Stegostoma tigrinum: one gene and its partner. Each later gene encodes a partner of the first gene's protein in a complex. Links are inferred from orthologs where the notes say so. Each region holds a gene or a part of one and is shown on either strand. Other genes may lie near its edges.

Region 1 (10,782 bases):
GTCTCCATCTCAGGTAACGAGCTATAAACTGATGTCCATTTCACGCCCACCCACTCCCACAACTACCTAGAATACACCTCCTCCCACCCACCCTCCTGCAAAAATTCCATCCCCTATTCCCAATTCCTCCGCCTCCGCCACATCTGCTCCCAGGATGAGGCATTCCACTCCCGCACATCCCAGGTGTCCAAGTTCTTCCAGGACCGCAACTTTTCCCCCGCAGTGGTCGAGAACGCCCTTGACCGTGTCTCCCGCAACACATCCTTCACACCCCGCCACAACCGCCCCCAGAGGATCCCCCTCGTCCTCACATACCACCCCACCAACCTCCGGATACAACATATCATCCTCCGAGACTTCCACCATCTACAATCCGACCCCACCACCCAAGCCATTTTTCCATCCCCACCCTTATCTGCCTTCCAGAGAGACCACTCTCTCCGTGACTCCCTTGTCCGCTCAACACTCCCCTCCAACCCCACCACACCCAGCACCTTCCCCTGCAACCGCAGGAAGTGCTACACTTGCCCCCACACCACCTCCCTCACCCCTATCCCAGGCCCCAAGATGACCTTCCATATCAAACAGATGTTCACCTGCACATCTGCCAATGTGGTATACTGTATCCATTGTACCTGGTGTGGCTTCCTCTACATTGGGGAAACCAAGCGGAGGCTTGAGGACCGCTTTGCAGAACACCTCTGCTCGACTTGCAATAAACAACTGCACCTCCCAGTCGCAAACCATTTCAACTCCCCCTCCCATTCCTCAGACGACATGTCCATCATGGGCCTCCTGCAGTGCCACAATGATGCCACCTGAAGGTCGCAGGAACAGCAACTCATATTCCGCCTGGGAACCCTGTAGCCCAATGGTATCAACGTGGACTTCACAGCTTCAAAATCTCCCCTTCCCCCACCGCATCCCAAAACCAGCCCAGTTCTTCCCCTCCCCGCACTGCATCACAAGACCAGCCCAGCCTTTCCCACCCCCCCCACGACTGCATCCCAAAACCAGTCCAGCCTGTCTCTGCTTCCCTAACTTGTTCTTCTTCTCACCCATCCCTTCCTCCCACCTCAAGCCGCACCTCCATTTCCCACCTACCACCTCATCCCGCCTCCTTGACCTGTCCATCTTCGCTGGACTGACCTATCCCCTCCCTACCTCCCCACGTATACTCTCCTCTCCACCTATCTTCTCCTGTATCCATCTTCGGTCCGCCTCCCCATCTCTCCCTATTTATTCCGGTTTCCTTTCCCCATCCCCCTCTCTGATGAAGGGTCTAGGCCCGAAACGTCAGCTTTTGTGCTCCTGAGATGCTGCTTGGCCTGCTGTGTTCATCCAGCTTCACACTTTATTATGTTAGAATCTTGTAAAATGCATTCTAGAAGACCACGCTTGTGGCTTTCAGATGGTAGTGAGGAAAGATTACACGTGTCTCTGGATGAAACTTGAAGGCACTGTCAGCACCACTCAACCAAATGACTATTATGGGTTATTGTTATTCTCTTGCTTTTTCATCATAATTGTGCACATGTAATCATCGTCTGCCTCTTGAAGATTTTGTTTCAACCTGCCTCCACTACAGTACCAGGTAGTGCATTCCAAACCCAAACTACACACTATATGAAATAACAAGGTGTAGAGCTGGATGAACACAGCAGGCCAAGCAGCAGGAAAGCTGACCCTTCTTCAGACCACTCATGATTTTGAGAACCTCTGTCAAATCTTGTATCTTTTTGTTCTGAAAGGAAAGCAAACCCAACACAATTTCACTACTCTCTCATAGCTGAAGTTTGTCTTCCCTGGAACCATTCATGTTAACTTCTTACTGTTCACATTTTTCTAAAAATATACATGGTACATTAACACTTCAAGTGAATTTTAAATGGTGTATTACAAAATTTCAGCATAACTTCGTTGGTCTTGAGCTCTGTGGCCCTATTAAAAAAAAGTCAGGATCTATGTTTCGTTACGTGTTTGTATTTCGGAAAGTTAAGAGCCGGCATCTACTGAGCAGTGAAACTATTTAAGATAACAAAACGTGTGGGGCTGGAAGAACACTACAGGCCAAGCAGCATCTTAGGAGCACCAAAGCAGATGTTTCGGGCCTAGACCCTTCATCAGAAAAGGGGGATGGGGAGAGGATTCTGAAATAAATAGGGAGACAGGGAGAGGCGGACCAAAGATGGATAGAGAAGATAGGTGGATAGCTGAGTGTGGGTGGGGAGGTATGGAGGAGATAGGTCAGGTCAAGGGGGCGGGATGAGGTTAGTAGGTCAGAAATGGAGGTGCAGCTTGAGGTGGGAGGAAGAACAGGTTAGGGAAGCGGGGACGAGCTGGGCTGGTTTTGGGATGCAGTGGGGGAAGGGGAGATTTTGAAGCTGGTGAAATCCACATTGATACCATTGGGCTGCAGGGTTCCCAAGCGGAATATGAGTTGCTGTTCCTTCAGCCTTCAGGTGGTATCATTAGAGCACTGCAGGAGGCCCAGGATGGACATATCGTCTAAGGAATGGGAGGGGGGAGTTGAAATGGTTTGCGACTGGGAGGTGCAGTTGTTTACTGTGAACCGAGTGTAGGTGCTCTGCAAAGCGCTCCCCAAGCCTCCGCTTGGTTTCCCCAATGCAGAGGAAGCCACACCGTGTACAGCGGACGCAGTATACCACATTGGCGGGTGTGCAGGTGAACATCTGCTTGATGTGGAAAGTCATCTTGAAGCCTGGGATGGGGGTGAGGGAGGCAGTGTGGGGGCAGCTGTAGCACTTCCTGCGGTTGCAGGGGAAAGTGCCAGGTGTGGTGGGGTTGGAGGGGAGTGTGGACCGGACAAGGGAGTCGCGGAGAGAGTGGTCTCCCTGGAAGGCAGACAAGGATGGGTGGAGAAAAATGTCTTTAGTGGTGGGGTCAGATTGTAGATGGCGGCAGTGTCGGAGGATGATGTGCTGTATCCGAAGGTTGGTAGGGTGGTATGTGAAGGCTGGGTGTGAGGGACGAGGTGCGGGAAATGCAGGAGACATGGTTGAGGACGTTCTCGTGCACTGTGGCGGTGATGTTGCGGCCATTGAAGAACGAGGACATCTGTGATGTGCGGGAGTGGAATGCCTCATCCTGGGAGCAGATGCAGCAGAGGTGAAGGAATTGGGAATATGGGATGGAATTTTTGCAGGAAAGTGGGAGGGAGGAGGTGTATTCTAGGTAGCTATGGGAGTCAGTGGGTTTGAAATGGACATCGGTTTATAGCTGGTTGCCCGAGATGGAGACAGAAAGGTCCAGGTGAGGGATGTGTTGGAGATGGTCCAGGTGAACTTGAGGTTGGGGTGGAAGGTGTTGGTGAAATGGATGAACTGTTCGAGCTCCTCTTGGGAGCAAGAGGTCGCGCCGATACAGTCAATGTAACGGAGGAAGAGGTGCGAATGAGGGACTGTTCCACATAACCTACAAAGAGGCAGGCATAGCTGGGGTCCGTGTGGGTACCCATGGCCACCCGCTTTGTCTGTAGGAAGTGGGAGGAATCGAAAGAGAAGTTGTTGAGGATGAGGACGAGTTTGGCTAGGCGGATGACGGTGTCGGTGGAGGGGGGCTGGTCGGGCCTGCGGGACACGAAGAAGCAGAGGGCCTGAAGGCCATCTGCATGGAGAATGCAGGTGTATAGGGACTGGACATCCGTGGTGATGAAAATGACGTGTTGGGGACCAGGGAATTGGAAGTTCTGGAGGAGGTGAAGAGCGTGGGTGGTGTCACAGACGTAGGTGGGGAGTTCCTGGATCAAGGGGGAGAAAATGGAGTCCAGATAGGTGGAGATGAGTTCGGTGGGGCAGCAGCAGGCGGAGACAATAGGTCGACCAGGGCAGGCGGATTTGTGGATTTTGGGAAGGAAAACTCCCACTTCCTACAGACTAAGGGGCTAACTGAGGAGACATTCCACTCCCGCACATCCCAGATGTCCTCGTTCTTCAAGGGCTGCAACATCACCCCCGCAGTGCTCGAGAGTGTCCTCGACCGTGTCTCCGACATTTACCACACCTCATCCCTCACACCCCACCCTCGCAATAATCACCAAAAGAGAATCCCCCTAGTCCTCACATACCACCCTACCAACCTCTGGATACAACGCATCATCCTCCGACGCTTCCGCCATCTACAATCCAACCCCACCACTAAAGACATTTTTCCCACCCCACCCCAACTTTGTCTGCCTTCCGGAGAGACCACTCTCTCCATGACTCCCTTGTCTGCTCCACGCTCACCTCCAAACCCACCACACCCGACACTTTCCCCTGCAACCGCAGGAAGTGCTACACCTGCTCCAACACCGCCTCCCTCACCCACATCCCAGGACCCAAGATGACATTCCACATCAAGCAGATGTCCACCTGCACATCCGCTAATGTGGTATATTGCATCTGCTGTACATGGTGTGGCTTCCTCTGCATTGGGGAAACCAAACGGAGGCTTGGGGAGTGCTTTGCAGAACACCTCTGCTCAGTTCGCAGTAAACAACTGCACCTCCCAGTCACAAACTATTTCAACTCCTCCTCCCATTCCTCAGACGACATGTCCATCATGGGCCTCCTGCAGTGCCATAATGGTACCAGCCCTAGGTTGCAGGGACAGCAACTCATATTCCACTTGGGAACCCTGCAGCCCAATGGTATCAATGTAGATTTCACCAGCTTCAAAATCTCCCCTCCCCCCACTGCATCCCAAAACCAGCCCAGCTTGTCCCTGCCTCCCTAACCTGTTCTTGCTCTCACCGATCCCCTCCTCCCACCTCAAGCCGCACCTCCATTTCCTACCTACTAACCTCATCCCGCCCCCTTGACCTCTCCATCCTCGCTGGACTGACCTATCCCCTCCCTACCTCTACTCTCCTCTCCACCCATCATCGGTCCTCCTCCCCCTCTCTCCCTATTTATTCCAGTTCCCTCTCTGATGAAGGGTCTAGGCCCGAAACGTCAGCTTTTGTGCTCCTGAGATGCTGCTTGGCCTGCTGTGTTCCTCCAGCTCCACACTTTGTTACCTCGGATTCTCTAGCATCTGCAGTTCTCATTATCTTTGAGCGAAACTATTTAACCTTCGTAACAATCATGTCAACAAGCAGCTTTAAAATGTATCATTGTACAGAGTAGTTTTACAGTTTATTTTTCATTAGAATTCTAAAATCTGCATTTGTTTTAAATCGAGAAACTAAGGTGAACCGTAAAGAACTAAAGTCGCAGCAAAAAACAAAAAAGAAAGCAACACCTCACAGGACGAAATGCATGATACCATTTGCTTTTTCGAAGCCGAGAATTCTACAAGCGTCTGAGAAATTTAGTAAATTCCCATTGGTATACAAATTTGGCGTTGAGAAAGATACGGTGGAAGAAAACGGTGCCATGTGTATCGGCTTTAACACGATGGGCACAAGGAAACGAGCGGACTACGCACTTCAAAATATGTCTCGCACAATCCCCAAGATTTTCACATTTATCCGCTTAATTCGCACCGTTTCCTATTGTTCAAAATAGGCACCTTTTTAAATGATCATTCCATTCCTTTTCAAATAAAAACACTTGTATTATTCTCTTTAAACTAGTGCGATTAACCTATAATTCACGTGATAGTCAATTTTATATTTCTGAATTTTCCTTACGAAGCCCTACCAATGTTGCCCTCCACTGAAATCCTGGTCACTGCCCGACTTTTACTGTGAAGTTCAACAGCCACAGTTCTGGAGCAAACGCGTTTCCGAGCAGCTTCTGTTCCCATCATCAGCTCAACCTGATCGCGCCGCTTCCAGGGAGAGTTCACGGTGAAAGCCAACCTCCGTCCCCGGGTTTGTAAAACCTTCTCTGGGTCAGGAAATAAACTCGGCAAGCAGCGATCAAACCCGTCTCTGTGTAGCATTCGGCATTGCGGAAAATTCACGCGTGTCAGTCCCGTTAGAGATCTGAAGTGCAGAGGCATTTTAACTGCGCTCTGACAAGTGTTGCTGCACACATAATGCTGCAGATCATGTTCTCGTCCACGATCGCTAGCTGCGTGAACGACTCCGCCAAAGCACAGAGCTGTTCGATCACTTCGCTTCCTCTATGCTGGAAACGACCTCTTCACATAGGTGAAGCAGTTCCGGGTTAATGCAAATGATAATGTTATTTTACAGCCTCCGTCTTCAATTAACAGGTTGGATTTACATCTGAAGAGGATTTAAAATGGTTGACTGCGTCAACGCGCGCGAAAAAGCTAATTAAATATATAATTTTGAGTCAACAAGTTCTGTGAAAGTGCACGATCCCTTGACAGCTATCTTATTCTACGCCACCTTGGATCATTTGGTACAACCCCCTTTATGCCACCTTTAAGCGATTTCCAGGACTGCCCTTAGCCACAAACTTTTGCTTTTCAATCTCATCCGACAAAATGGCTTGAGATGTTGCAGCAAAGTTATGTTGAAGCAAAGTGTGACAATTAAGTGTATTGACATCCACTAACGTGGGTGAATTATTGCACTTAATCATTTAATATAACAATCATTGGAGAAATATCTCGTATGTTGAACACCACAGCAAGTACAGGTTCTTTACAGACTCGGGTGGAGAAGTTAAAGTCAAGAACTGCCTTCATTGAGGTTGTTGACCTGCTCTCCGAGCTAGCTTTCTTTCGTTCAGACGTTTTGGCACCAGGCGAGGCCTCTGCTGAAGCAATGTTATTCTACTCTGCTTGGAATTGGTCAGCTTTTGTGCTCCTGAGATGCTGCTTGGCCTGCTGTGTTCATCCAGCTTCACGCTTTATTATCTTGGATTCTCCAGCATCTGCAGTTCCCGTTATCTCTGGAATTTATACTGCCTGGTTCACGATGGTGAGTAGTGCCATTTCCGCTTTTGATTTGTATGAGTTTGTACATAGGATCCAATTGTATATGTTTGTTGATAGCATTACAGGTTGAGAACCTTCCTATAGTAATTCCTATGTGTGTCTAATGTTTGGCTTGGGCGACTATGGTTACATTCCCAGTTAAACTGATGGCCTTCATTGTCTGAATGTATTGAAATTAAGAAAAGTTTGTAGTGTCATTTTGCTGCTAGCTGATGTTCGTGTATTCTGATGGCTAGTTTCCTTCCTGTCTGTCCGATGTAATGTTTGACAGTTGTTGCATGGTATTTTGTAAACCATATTGGTTCTGCATGTTGTAGGAGTGGGGTCTTTAATCCTTGAGTGTTTGTCAGAGAGTGGCTGTAGGCTTGTGGGCTACAAACAGACACGCACAGGAAACACAGAATTAGACCTCATATACAAACCCATACAGATCAAATCCTGAAAATGACACTACTCACCATAACGGACCGGATGGTATAAATTGCAAGTGGAGTAGACCAATGTCGTTTCATCGGAGGCCTCATGGATGAGGTTACCTCGCATGGTGACAGAACGCCTGAACAAAAACAAGGGTATGTTTGGCTGGGGGACTTGAGGCTGTTTTCATTAGAGAGAAGGTGGTTGAGAGGTGACTTAATTGAAACATAAAATAATCAGAGGGTTATATAGGGTGGATAGGAGGAGCCTTTTTCCTAGGATGGTGACAGCGAGCACGAGGGGGCATAGCTTTAAATTGAGGGGTGAAAGATATAGGACAGATGTCAGAGGTAGTTTCTTTACTCAGAGTAGTAAGGGAATGGAACGCTTTGCCTGTAAACGGTAGTAGATTCACCAACTTTAGGTACATTTAAGTTGTCATTGGATAAGCACATGGACATACATGGAATAGTGTAGGTTAGATGGGCTTGAGATCGGTATGACAGGTTGGCACAACATCGAGGGCCGAAGGGCTTGTACTGTGCTGTAATGTTCTAAGTTCTATGCCAGCTCAGCAAGCAAGTCAACAACCTCAGCCACAACCTGAGCTACAAATCTTTGCTAACATTTCAAACTGTCTTCAGGTTTCATCTGGTCTTCAAAGTAACATTATTTATTGAATATTAATACTAAATCCTGCTGTAGATGATAATCATTCACTTATCAGGCTCTGACTTATCGAAATGTTAGGTAAGGACTAACCTAACTTCATGTGTTCTCAAATTGTCTTCCAACAAGGAGAGAGTTCTCATGTAACCATAAATAGTGGTTTTTCCTCCAGCGTTCTGATCCAACCACACTCTTGGTATTAAAACTTAGTGAGCTGCAGCTGTGTGATATCACCACAAAGTTGCTACTGTGTTCCAATCCCTAATACAAATTCAAGTATATGACAATTCACAGGGATGGTTAAGCAGGAGAGAGAGACACACTGACCATAGCTCTCCACTTGCTGTCCTGGCCAAAAAAGGTGTATACTAACCGAAGGTCCGAGTTTAATATTCGTTCAAGAAATCCTCATTAGTTCTTAACTGGTTAACTGCATGTGCCTTGAATTTCTTAGTCACTCATTATTCAAATAACAGGCTCAGGCAGTGGCATTATTTGCTTTTCATTGAAAATGGACATTTCTGATGGCCCAGAGAAAGGTGGGGCTCAACCAATTCTTGAATGGCTGGATTCCATGTGGTGAAGTTGCATTATTTACCCAATGGCTATGACTTGGACTAAGCTGTGACAGTAATACCGGACAAGTCAGATCCCAGCGTGACATATGGTTCATTCGTCTCATTTTTCAATTTGTTTACCATAGTGGGCAGTCACTGAGTACGTTAGAGGTTGCGATGTACTTTTTGCAAAAATTTCAAACACAAAAATGGGAAATCCAAGCCATTTTACACAAGTGTAAGAACTGTTTGAATGGATTTTATGACAAATAAAACGTCAACCTTCCAGCTTCTCTGATGCTGCATGCGCCGCCTGGTCCACGCTGTGTTATCTCTGACTCCAGCATCGGCAGTTCTTACTATCTATAAATAAAAATGCAGATGTTTTACCCTGAACACTGCCTTACAGCTACTCACACTTCAATGAAATGTCACCTAGCTTCTATAGTTTCTTTTTCAGTTGACATGGGTGTGCTTGTTCTTTTGTTTCTGCATCACTTGATGTTGTTGAAATAACTACAGAGACCAGTATCCTATCACCAGGTCACCCATTGTTTACATCTGGAGAAACCTTGACACAGTCAGCTCTATCAGGGCTGTCTGGCATACCTCTTACCTGTCAGCCATAGCTCTCTGACTGGACAAGTTTAACAGCCCCTCATATTCTATAATCAGCCATGTGGACATAATTGTTTCAATGACTGAAGTTGTCAGTTTTAATTAATGTCTGTCCACAAGACCCTGAAACTGATCATACTGATCACTTACTCCTAAACATGTATTCTATAAACACATTTAACAATCTTGCAGATAATGCATGCCTTTTGAAATTATTCCCTAAACAGATTCTACTCTTAATCTTTCACACTGATGTCACTTTTAATTAAGAGGCCTGATCATCACCTTTTCCAAGCATCTTACCGTGTTGAAATATCAAGTACCTTGTGTATTTGATACCTTGCAGTCAATTCTTTTTAATGTTTGTCATAGCGTATATTTATGTTGCATCAAACTGACAATTCATGCCTTCCTGCTGCACTCTGCTTGTTAACCATGTTGCAAACCTTGACGACTGTCTTATCCTTTCCTTATAAATTTATCACTTCTCCCTTTGCTTGACCTCAAACTCCCCACACTTCTAAAACCTCTCTACTGCCCAAGTTATACAACTCAGTGCAACACTTAAAAGTCCACTGAGACAGGTGAAGACCATACCGAAGGTATGACTTCCATTTTCTGCAGTAACACTGCCAGTGGCGCATGAATTGAAAAATATTTCTCTCACACCAAGCTTTGAACCACACATTTAATTCTCTGATCAGATTTACCCTTCACCAATTTAAGATGGAATGTAACAAATTAACCACAAGGAGGACCAAAAGCATTTTGTTTCTGATGTCGGTCTAAGTTTCCACAGGCAAAGCAAATATAAAAGGTTTGTGTTAACAAAGTGACATCTTTTGGCTGATTGTTGGCTGTTGGGATTTCTTCACAGGACTAACACTTTCAAAAGATCTACATTATGTCCATGCAAGAACAACACAAAAATGTTAGCATTCAAATGAGGAAAAAAAAGGGAACAATTGTTTATTTGCCAAGAAAATTGTATGCCACGGCAGGAGGATGAACAGAAATAATAAAGATGCAGTTAGTTAAGCTGAAACTATTTTTGAGGAGTGTGGAAATATGGTTGGATGTTTCATCATGGGACATAAACAAGGTACAGTACATTAGAATGAGAAAATAAACTTAGTGGGAGATGTGTCCAATTGACATTTATAGTGGTATTGAACAGGGAACTACAGAATGGGAATTTTTGATATGTATTGGGTAATAACAATGCTGGAATAATGAAAATACAAATGTGTAGCACCTTTTGCACAACCATTGAATTACATTCAAAAGATTGCTATGAGCATTTTACTTCTCTTATCTATCAAATAACCATTGAGCTTCAAAGTGTATGAAACAGGTTCCAGATAGGGAAGAGAACATTCGAGGTCAAGGGTGCGACATCATGGAATGCTAACATTTCACTGAAGGAATCTCAATTTTAGGCTGACAAAACAGTGTGGTGTAAAATTAAGTGTTGTCTTTCACCAGTCCAATTGTGATTAAATCTAGTTCATGCTGGGTACATTCACTGTGGTTTGTCAAACAACACTGCGTTCCAGGTAACAAAGTATGGAGCTGGAGGAACACAGCAGGCCAGGCAGCAGAGGAACAGGAAAGCTGACATTTCCTGTTCCTCTGATGCAGTCTGGTCTGCTGTGTTCCTCCA
Region 2 (10,473 bases), on another chromosome or scaffold:
TAAGGTGATTGGCAGGTGTCTTGTCCCTAGGGTGGGGGATTTGAAGACTAGGGGGCAAATTTTTAGGGTGAGAGGAGAAAGATTTAACAAAGACATGGGTGCATTTTTTTTAAACACACAGTAGTTCATGTGTGGAATGAACTTCCAGGCAGAGTTGTGGATGCAGGTACAGTTATAACATTTAAAAGATTTAGATAAGTACATGAATAAAAAGTATTTGGAGGGATATGGGCTGGTTGGACAAAGGGTCTGTTTTCATGCTGTATGATCTTATTACTCTTATAATAAGACATCAAATGGGAAAAGAACCAGGAACCTGCACTAATTAGACAAGTTAAATTAACATACACACAGCATTAAATCCACATCAATACTCCACATTTGTCTTGTACACCTGTTTATTGATCCTGTGTTCAGTTATGTTTGCGAGCACGAACTAAAAATTAGAGGTCATTGCTGACTTTTCTGACTACACCATCACTGCCATGAAACAAAACTAATCACCTCGGTCACTGAATATATAATTCAAGGAGAGTTCAAACTCATCACATACCAGACAAATGAAAGGGGAATTTGCAAGGATCCTTAACGTGACACAATTTTAAACACTACCAAGTCAGGGAAATGCTTTGGCATTTTTATCTTAAATTTTTAATTTAAATTTTTATGAAATATATTTATACCTTCCTTTGTGTACCCAGCTGCCCATCTTTAACATCTGAGCATGAGGTGCAAACTGCTCCTATGATTTCACAAATAACTCTTGAGTTGCCTATTAGGTTATAACTGGGGCGGTTTGTACTGTTCAGCTATCAAATCAGCCCGTCTCAGACCATTGCTAAGGTCCTTTGCATCAAGAAGTTATTTTCATAGTAATCCTTTGGCTTATTTGGAAGCAAAATGAATTGGAAGTGTTTGAATGTTCTGATAGCTGCTTCTGCCCTGGAGAAAAGCCAGAAGACAATTTTGTCCATTCCACAATTTGACTTCCTTGTAGAAAAGTACACGGGTTCAACTTAGAGCTTCCTGAACTAGTTATTGACAAATTGCCACATAAGAATTGCCACATGTTTAGGTGTTTTGCAAATGTTATCGGTCAAGTGAGTTGGTCTCCTTTAATACAGTCAAAAATATGACAGTTTGCATACCATTCCATTGCTGATTCAAATAGTAATTCATGGAATAACAGTATGGACACTTAACCCTGTCACAGCAAAAACATATTAATAATTATTCCAGAGATAGTAGGAACTGCAGATGCTGGAGAATCTGAGACAACAAAGTGTAGAGCTGGATGAACACAGCAGACCAAGCAGAAGAGCAGGACCCGGAACATCTGCTTTCCTGCTCCTCTGATGCTGCTTGGCCTGTTGTGTTCATCCAGCTCTACACCTTGATAAATATCCCAAGGTGTCTTGAAGGAGCATTATTAAATAAAATTTGACGTAAAGCCACATTATGCAATATCAGGTCAAGACAAAATCTTGGTCAGAGACAGGTTTTAAGGAGCATCTGAAAGAAGCAAAGAGCACTCCAGGGGTTTAGAAAGGAATTTCAGAGCTTCAAGCCCAGGCAGCTGATGGCACGGCTGCTAAAGGTAGAATGAATAAAAGTGGTCTGTCCAAAGGTTGGACTGGGAAAGCACAGAGATCTCAAAGGATTACAGAGATAACAGGAACTGCCGATGCTGGAGAATCTGAGATAACACAGTGTATAGCTGGATGAGCACAGCAGGCCAAGCAGCATCAGAGGAGCAGCAAAGCTGATGCTTCAGGTCGAGAACCTTCTTCAGATCTCAAAGGACTGTTGTGCTGGAGGAGGTTGACAGAGATGGCAAGAAGGAAGACCACAGAGAGATTGGAAAACAACGATTAGAATTTTAAATATTGCAAGGTGTTGGGAACCAGTGTTGGTCAATGAACATGCCGGTGATAGCAACTTTTGAGTTAGGAAATGGGCAGCTCAAATCCAGGCAAGCTCAAAAGTATAACATCCCCACATATGAATCTGACCAGGGAAGCAATGGAACAAATTTTGGAACATGGTAGTTGCACATTCTTAAAAAAGATGGATCTGACTGAAAAGTAAACCTTTCTCGATTTCATAGCATTAGCTACATGTATTGTTTAAATATGCTATGCCAGCCAGGACTGCTCTTGCAATTCTTATGATTCCAATTACACAACCATAGATATTGGATGCAGCACAAGCAGTTAAATCGCTTGCCTTGCAATTAAAGAAAGGGACATGTAGAACATTGATTAAACTATGCTTTTTAAATACAAGGACTGTATCTGGGAGAGCACAATCTCACTGCTCTATCTTTTCATTAGATGTCTTACTTTGCACAAAACACATCAGAATGGAATACCCTGAAACAACAAACACAAGAACACAACAAGCCAGGCATTTCCTGCTTGTCTTCTGGTTTTTCCCCAGAGCAGAAGCAGCTATCAGAAAACTCAAACACTTGCAATTCATTTTGCTTCCAAATAAGCCAAAAAAGTTACTATGGAAATAATCTTGATGCAAAGGCCCTTAGCTGTTGTCTGAGACAAGCTGTCTTGATAGCTGAACAGTACAAACAGCCACAGTCATTTGATAAGCTACTCCAGAGCAATACCATGGAAGATCAGCCAGAAATCAATATAAGACTTGAAAACTGAATGTATCTGTTTATGAAGCCAAGTGGAATTGTAAAAGCTACATGCTTTATTTAGCAATGACAGATGCAATTCCAAGTGATAACCAACTACACATTCAAAGTGCAGTGATCAAACAGGCACAAGTTATGTGCACAGCATTACGTTGACCGAGGCATGCCAGAATCAATGCTGTCTGCATAAAACAGACATGTATTCTGCAATACCACAAACATTTTCAAGTCCAATGTTGAGAACACAGCAGTGAGTGTCAAATGTTGGACAAACAGCATGATAACCTTTTGAAATATTTCAAATCAATGGGGTGATGATGATGTAGTGAAAATGTCACTGCACTAGTATTCCAGAATAATTTAGTCTAATGCTCTGGGGACAAATCTCACTATAGCAGCAGGTGGAATTTGAATTTAGTTAATGAATATGGAATATAAAACTGTCGTTGTTGTAAAACTCCATCTAATTCATTAACTTTTTTAAACAAAGAAAACTCTGCCAACCTAACCTGGTTGGCCTACATGTGAGTCCAGAACAACAGCAAAGTCGTGGCTCTTAACTGCTCTCTGAAATGCCTTGCTAGCCACTCAATTCAGTGATAACTAAGAATGGCAACAAGTGCTACGTTTGCCAGCAATGCTGACATTCCATGTAAGAATAAAGAAAAATAAAATTCCACATACAGAACACAGAAGTGTAATTTCATACATCATTCTGTTAGCACATTTGCAATGGTGCTTTAACTATCACACAGCAAAGAACAAATTTTACTACAGCCAAATGACAAATCAATACCAACAAGCATCTAACTCCAACTCAATCTGTTTCATTCATCATATATTCACAGAAGTGCCAGTTAATATTTAACTCCAACAATGACAGATCAGGGACAGAGCTCTTGGTTTAGCAGAACTCACACTGCACAGCACATGAGCACAACTAGCCTAATGGCGATAGCAGCATTGGCCTGCCAAATCAGCAAAAATACACAATAATTGTAAATGAAATATCCAGTTTTCAGCAACTATCTGCTGAAAAATGACAACAGCCATAGTGTCAGACACTTTCATGCTGCTGGCAACCTGAACAAAGCATCAGTTCTGCAAATAAAATGGCAAAATGTATTAAAATTAAAGTTGTTCTTTTGAGTTTCATTACATCTATCAGCATATTTTACAATAAATATTTATAACTGAGGAGGGGGAGTTGGACTGATTAAGCATTTAAGTACAGAGCAACTGAAAAAAGCATACATATTTAAGAATATTACCAAGTTAAGAGGATGGATCATTTCTGTTGTGCTCCTGTAGTGATGTCAGTGCAGAGGGATGATGGTGTGTGTGATTAGATGATAGGGGTTTGCGGTGTGCTGTTCCAGAGCAGGCCCATCACCACCAGGCAGTCAGTAAAGGAACCAGGCTGTGAGCTCCATAACAACAGCATCTCTCCCAGGGGCACCCCCCACCCCCATTCACACACAGAGGAAGCCAGGGTTCAGGAGGAGACTAAACACACAGCCAAACTCACACAGACATACAGCCCAGACCTGCCCCAACCTCTCCTGCCCTCTCTCTGTTACCAAATGGCTCTTTCCCCCTCAGTTTGAATGTTAACCCAGGGTTCCACTCACAAGATGGAACAAAGGCGCCTCCTCCACCAACAACTGACTTTGAATTCAATCAACAGCACATTCAACACAGTCTACACTGCATTCATATCCCGGAATAAAATACGCAAGGCGCAAATAGGAAAATCTGACTAGAAATATATGCATCGCGGTGATTTGTCCTGTTCGATTTATTATGGGCGTTCACAAGCAACTATATTTTCCAGCTGCCTGAATTGCGAGAATGAATGAAAGAGGCGAATCTGCTGGGAGCGATCGGGAGTGACAATCCGGAGAGTAAATGGAGTGATGTGTTTATCAGGCGCATATTCGAAAGAATTAATTCGGAAACAGACACTCAACGGCAGGGCAGCTCACTAGAAATAAAAGTACGAATAATACGATATAAACAGAAGGGGAGGCTGCCGTGTTTCTTTCTATTTGAAACGTTGGTCGCCGGCATGATTCAGACGAATCGGTGGACGCGGATGGTGGAGTAAGTGGAGGAGTTTACGGTGGGTGCGGGATCGGGGGGCGGGATTCCTGTAAATTAGTTAAAATATAATGCCTTCAGCTCGCTGTAATGTCTCTGGGCAGGAATCCAATATCGGGGCGGGGGCGGAGCGGCAATGGGCAGTAAAGGGGGGGGTTTCCACGGAAACCGGTTCCTCTCAGCGGAGGCGCAGTGATCACGGTGAAGGTTAAAGGTCAGAGCTGGGAGTGGGGAAAGTTTATGGAGCCAGAGGCGCTCAGCAGAAATGTGGCTATTGGCAAGAGGATCAGCACAAAAACTTCAACCCGGCCTTAGGAATCTGTGCTGTAATTACCACAGAAAAGAACCTTGTATATGTATGTAAAAAATAAGAACCTTGTCGCACGGAGGAGTAAGAGGTGAATTACTCCTAACCTGAAAGGCCAGTAATTTCTCTCGTGAGGAGGGGGGGTGGGGATGGGTTAGTTTGATGAAGCTGGAGAAAGTGACTGTTGTGTCCTTGGTGCAGCAGAGATATTACATTGTCACAGAATCACAACTCTGTGGAAGCAGAGATAATGGGAACTGCAGATGCTGGAGAATCCAAGATAATAAAATGTGAGGCTGGATGAACACAGCAGGCCCAGCAGCATCTCAGGAGCACAAAAGCTGACGTTTCGGGCCTAGACCCTTCATCAGAGGGTCTAGGCCCTAAACGTCAGCTTTTGTGCTCCTGAGATGCTGCTTGGCCTGCTGTGTTCATCCAGCCTCACATTTTATCATCTGTGGAAGCAGGCCATTCAGCCCATCACGTTCACACCACATTACACCTCATATCTCGACTCCCCCCGACCCCTGCAACCCTGTATTTTCCCATGCCTAATCCATCTAACGTTGACATCCCTGGACACCAAGAGTAATTTAGCATGGCTCATCCACCGAACCCGTTCATCTTTGGCCTGTGAAGAAACGATTGATATAAGAAATAGATGAAGGTGTAAATTCTATGCATAGAGGCATAGAAGATAGGATCAAGGGTAGTCTGTTTGATCTCTCCAAGTCTGCTCCACGTTAAGTATGATATGTGTTAAATATGGTATATAGTATTTGAATAAGTGCCACAAAGCAAGCATGAAACATTCCAGATAAGTGCAGGTCTTTTTGAGACTTGGGAGGCATCATTAATGTAAAATTGTCAAATACCTGGAAGATAGAAACTAAGACAATGGAGTGTGTACCATAAGAATTTATAAAATTGCCAATTTTAATCAAGAAAATATAATTAATGTAATCTGTAATCACAATGTTGAAGTACATAATTCTCATTAAAATAAGCCTTGCATATTTGTACTTCTTGGTGAAGTATTTGTTTTTTAGTAATATTATGTGATGTAATTAATTGTTGTAATTTAGTTTAGAATTGACTTTTATAAAAAATTCATCAACAATTACTGTAGTCATATACTGAATTTTTCACAAGCCCCCATCTAGAAAACAACATCCCTGAATTCTTAATTTACCATTTTAAATGTTTATAATGATAAGCTTAAAAAATAAGTTATTTCTGCTAATATATATCTGTATTTTATTCATTCAATGATTTTGCTCATTTGGAAACTCTGGTGATGTGGTTGTGGGAAGCATTTCATTACAGGACACAGTTTATAACTGGTAATCCTGACTCTGTATCCTTTAAAGATGTGAAATTTCTCTTAGTTGATGTTTTAAACTGACAATAATGTTGACCAGGTGGGTTTATCTTGCCAGGGAATAAAGATGGTAGACCATTAAAAGTACGTTGATAGAACAGGATTTGAATTATAACTGTCAATGAATGTTAGTGAGATTTGAAGGCACATTATTACTTTTTACGGTAAATTGTTAAACTGAGTGGAAAATTGATGTTGTTCCAACTTCTGGAACAACTCAGTTGCATTCTTTAGATTATGTCTTGAATGGATGAATTGGTATGTGTGGAATGCAGTGAGTAGGGAGAGCTGCAACATTGCACTGCCAGTTGGTGAAGGACTGTTTGCAACTTTAGTTCAACCCAAGATGAACATTCAACCATTTACCTTGAAAATTACTGTGATCACTATTTCAATCTCTGAAATTATTGCTCTAGTGAAATCATCTCATTCACACCTATATAGACATGACTGTTTCAACTTTCTCCTGGCTGCCCTTCCACATTCTACCCTCCTTGTACTGGAACAGGCAGCAGAACTGACTCTCGCCATATCTTATTTATCAATCACCTCTGCGTTTGCTGACTTATATTGGCTCCCAGCTAACAAACACTTAAATTTTAAAATGCTCATGCACTCCCCTCCCTATTTTTGTGATTTCCTTTAACCTTACATCCCTCCGATATCTGCACTGCTCCAAATTAGCTGGCTTCTTGACTATTCCTAATTGTAAGCATACTAATATGGATGACACTGTTTGTTTTTAGCTGCCTACACATTGGAATTCCTTCCCTAGACCCATCTTCCGCATTTTTTTCTCTCCTTTTTGTTTACCCCTTAACTAACGTCCCCACCCTAATATCTCCTTATGTCGCTTGCTATCATAATTTGTTTGATAATGTTTCTGTGAAGCACCTTGCCATTTTACTACGTTTAACATTCTATCTAAATGCTCGCCAGTATTAACATTGCTGCATGAGGTCTGTAAGTCACATTTGTCTCTGCATTCACAGGTTATTTGTAGCTCTGGCTGAATAATACCACTTTTGAAGTGAACCTGGAGATGAAGAGGCAGCTACTCAGTGTGATGTGCCCCCGTGCTTCTTGCTTCCATATTGCAAGAAGCAACAGTCTCCAAGTACGAGTTTACTGCTCACAGCCCACCCAGAAAACAGTTGCCAAGACTCTAAATGAAACTACCAATGCGACACAGCTGAAGTGGGTGGAACTGAGCAAAGATTTAAGCAAAAAAACTGTTGAGCACATTCGAATCACAACCAATTCCTTGTGGGAGAAATATGAGGAGTTTGTTGGACTGAAAGAGGTGCAAGTAGCACAGCTCAAGGTCACTGAGGTATTGTACTGATTTTATTTGCCATTCATGACTATATGCTAGTACTGTTATAGCCTGTGGTCTAGGTAGCATCATATGAGTAGACTGAAAAGCACCTAAAGAGATTAAACCTGTTCTCATCGTTTTATTCCTGGTCTGTGCTGAATTCATTGTTCTCCAGTAGAGGCACACTAAGCGGTCTTAACACCATTAAACAAGGGAGTTAAAAAGTCAGGGGCCCTGTGCGTCATCCAACATAAGACCATAAAAAATAGAAACAGAAGTTCGGCATTCACCCCCTCAAGCCTGCTCCACTGTTTGATAGGATCATTGCTGACCTAGCATTCCTCAGATCCATATTCCTGTCCTTTCCCTGTGACTCTTGATTTCGCAATGAGAAGAATAGAGTGACCCTTGTTGAAATATGTGTGCATGCACATACCAAATGAACATAAAGAGCTTACAAGCAGCGATTTTTTTATTGTTTCTTCACATGTACATGTTTCAAAAAAGCAATGCTGGTAATCTCAATTTACAGCTGAAAGCAATGGACACAATCATGAGGTCATGTAGCGTCTGGAAAGTAACAACATAAGTTAACCTTTCAGGTATAAAGCTTCATTGGAACTGAAACATTTTTCATCCTTGGATCCTGGTGTGTCAACTGATAAAATGGGACTCGATGATCTAAGTCAGAAGCATGCTTTGGTTGTTGCTTGATGTCAAAACCACTGTAAGCAAGAATCATTAATAATAATGCATCATTACCAAATAGTATCCGTCTGTTACCTTTGACAAAGTTTTTGGTCACCTGTGACTCAGTGGCATATTTTGTTTATTAATACTTCTCTGAGATGTTTTGCAGCATTTAAAAATGACATGTAAATGGTACATTCTTCTAGCACCCTTAAGTAAGACCTGATCAGGCGTACCCTAGAATTCTGTGGGAAGCTAGGGAAGTGATTGCTGTGTCCTTTGCTCGGATATTTGTATCATCGATAACCACAGGTGAGGTGCTGGAAGACTGGAGGCTGGCTAACCTGATGCCACTATTTAAGAAAGATGGTAAAGAAAAGCCAGGCAGCTATAGACTGGTGAGCCTGACATTGGTGGGCAAGTTGTTGGACGGAATCCTGAAGGACAGGCTTTACAAATATTTGGAAAGGCAAGGGCTGATTAGGGATTGTGTGTGGGAAATCATGTATCACTAACTTCAATAAGGCATGGTAGACTGATTTAGCTAGGTTAGGGAGAACCAGCTATTTAGATACAGAACTGGCTCGAAGGTAGAGACGGAGGGTGATGGTGGAGGGTTGCTTTTCGGATAGGAGGCCTGCGACCAGTGGTGTGCCACATGGTGCTGGGTCCACTCCTTTTGTTATTTACATAAATGGTTTGGATGGGAACATGGGAGGTATGGTTAGACAGTTGGCAGATGTCACTAAAATTGAAGGGGTAATGGACGGCGAGGAAGGTTACCTCAAGAATGCAATAGGATCTTGATCAGATGGGCCAATCGGCTGAGGAGTGGCAAATTGAGTATAATTTAGATAAATGTGAGGTACTGCATTTTGGAAAGTGGTATCAGGGCAGGACTTGTACACTTAATGGTTAGATCTTGGGTAGTGTTGCTGAACAAAGAGACGTTGGAGTGTAGGTTCACAGTTCCTTGAAAATGGAGTCACAAGTAGGTAAGATAGTGAAGGAGGCATTTGGCATGCTTGCCTTTACTGGTCAGTGCATTGAGGATAGGAGTTGGGAGGTCACGTTGTGGCTGCACAGGACATTAGTTATTCCACTGTTGGAATGCTGCGTACGATTCTGGTCCCTTGAAAGGGTTCAAAAAAGATTTACAAGGATGTTGCTAGGATTGGAAGATTTGATCTCTGGTAGAGACTGAATAGACTGGGACTATTTTCGCTGGAACATCTGAGGCCAGAGAGTGACCTTATAGAGGTTTGTAAAAGCATGAAGGACATGGATAGGGAAAATAGACAAGGTCTTTCCCCCAGGGTGGGGAATCCAAAATTAGAGGGCATAGGTTTAATTTGCGAGGATGAACATTTAAAAGGGATCTGAGGTGCAAGATTTTCACACAGAGCTTACCATTAAGTGTATGGAATGAGCTGCCAGAGGAAGTGGTAGAGGCTGGTACAACATTTAAAAGGCATCTGGACAGGTATGTGAATAGGAAGGGTTTAGAGTGGTATGGGCCAAATGCTGGCAAATGGGACTGGATTTATTTCGGCCACCCCACCAACCTCCGGGTACAATGCATCATCCTCCGACACTTCCGCCATCTACAATCTGACCCCACCACCCAAGACATTTTTCCATCCCCACTTGTCTGCTTTCCGGAGAGACCACTCTCTCCGTGACTCCCATGTTCGCTCCACACTGCCCTCCAACCACACCACACCCGGCACCTTCCCCTGCAACCGCAGGAAATGCTACACTTGCCCCCACACCTCCTCCCTCACCCCTATCCCAGGCCCCAAGATGACTTTCCATATTAGGCAGATGTTCACCTGCACATCTGCCAATGTGGTATACTGCATCCGTTGTACCCGGTGTGGCTTCCTGTACATTGGGGAAACCAAGCGGAGGCTTGGGGACCGCTTTGCAGAACACCTCCACTCGGTTCGCAATAAACAACTGCACCTCCAGGTCGTGAACCATTTCCACTCCCCCTCCCATTCTTTAGATGACATGTCCAT

Evidence for each region. The genes of interacting proteins can lie anywhere in the genome.
Region 2: histone acetyltransferase KAT6A-like (region 1) and brpf1 share a complex: the UniProt entries of both Homo sapiens proteins name them as parts of the MOZ/MORF complex. The link is inferred for Stegostoma tigrinum from reciprocal best matches to the Homo sapiens genes KAT6A and BRPF1.

Annotation. Positions count from the first base shown.
Region 1 is NC_081393.1:14,499,835-14,510,616, forward strand, and holds the start of histone acetyltransferase KAT6A-like, read left to right. Parts: upstream 1-6,149; 5' UTR 6,150-6,841; intron 6,842-10,782. Other genes in the region: deoxycytidine kinase 2-like, read right to left, coding at 5,646-5,949. UniProt on the Homo sapiens protein: Histone acetyltransferase that acetylates lysine residues in histone H3 and histone H4 (in vitro). Component of the MOZ/MORF complex which has a histone H3 acetyltransferase activity. May act as a transcriptional coactivator for RUNX1 and RUNX2.
Region 2 is NC_081364.1:17,908,976-17,919,448, reverse strand, and holds the start of brpf1 (peregrin), read right to left. Parts: upstream 4,304-10,473; 5' UTR 3,928-4,303; intron 1-3,927. Other genes in the region: ccdc51 (mitochondrial potassium channel), read left to right, coding at 7,487-7,777. UniProt on the Homo sapiens protein: Scaffold subunit of various histone acetyltransferase (HAT) complexes, such as the MOZ/MORF and HBO1 complexes, which have a histone H3 acetyltransferase activity.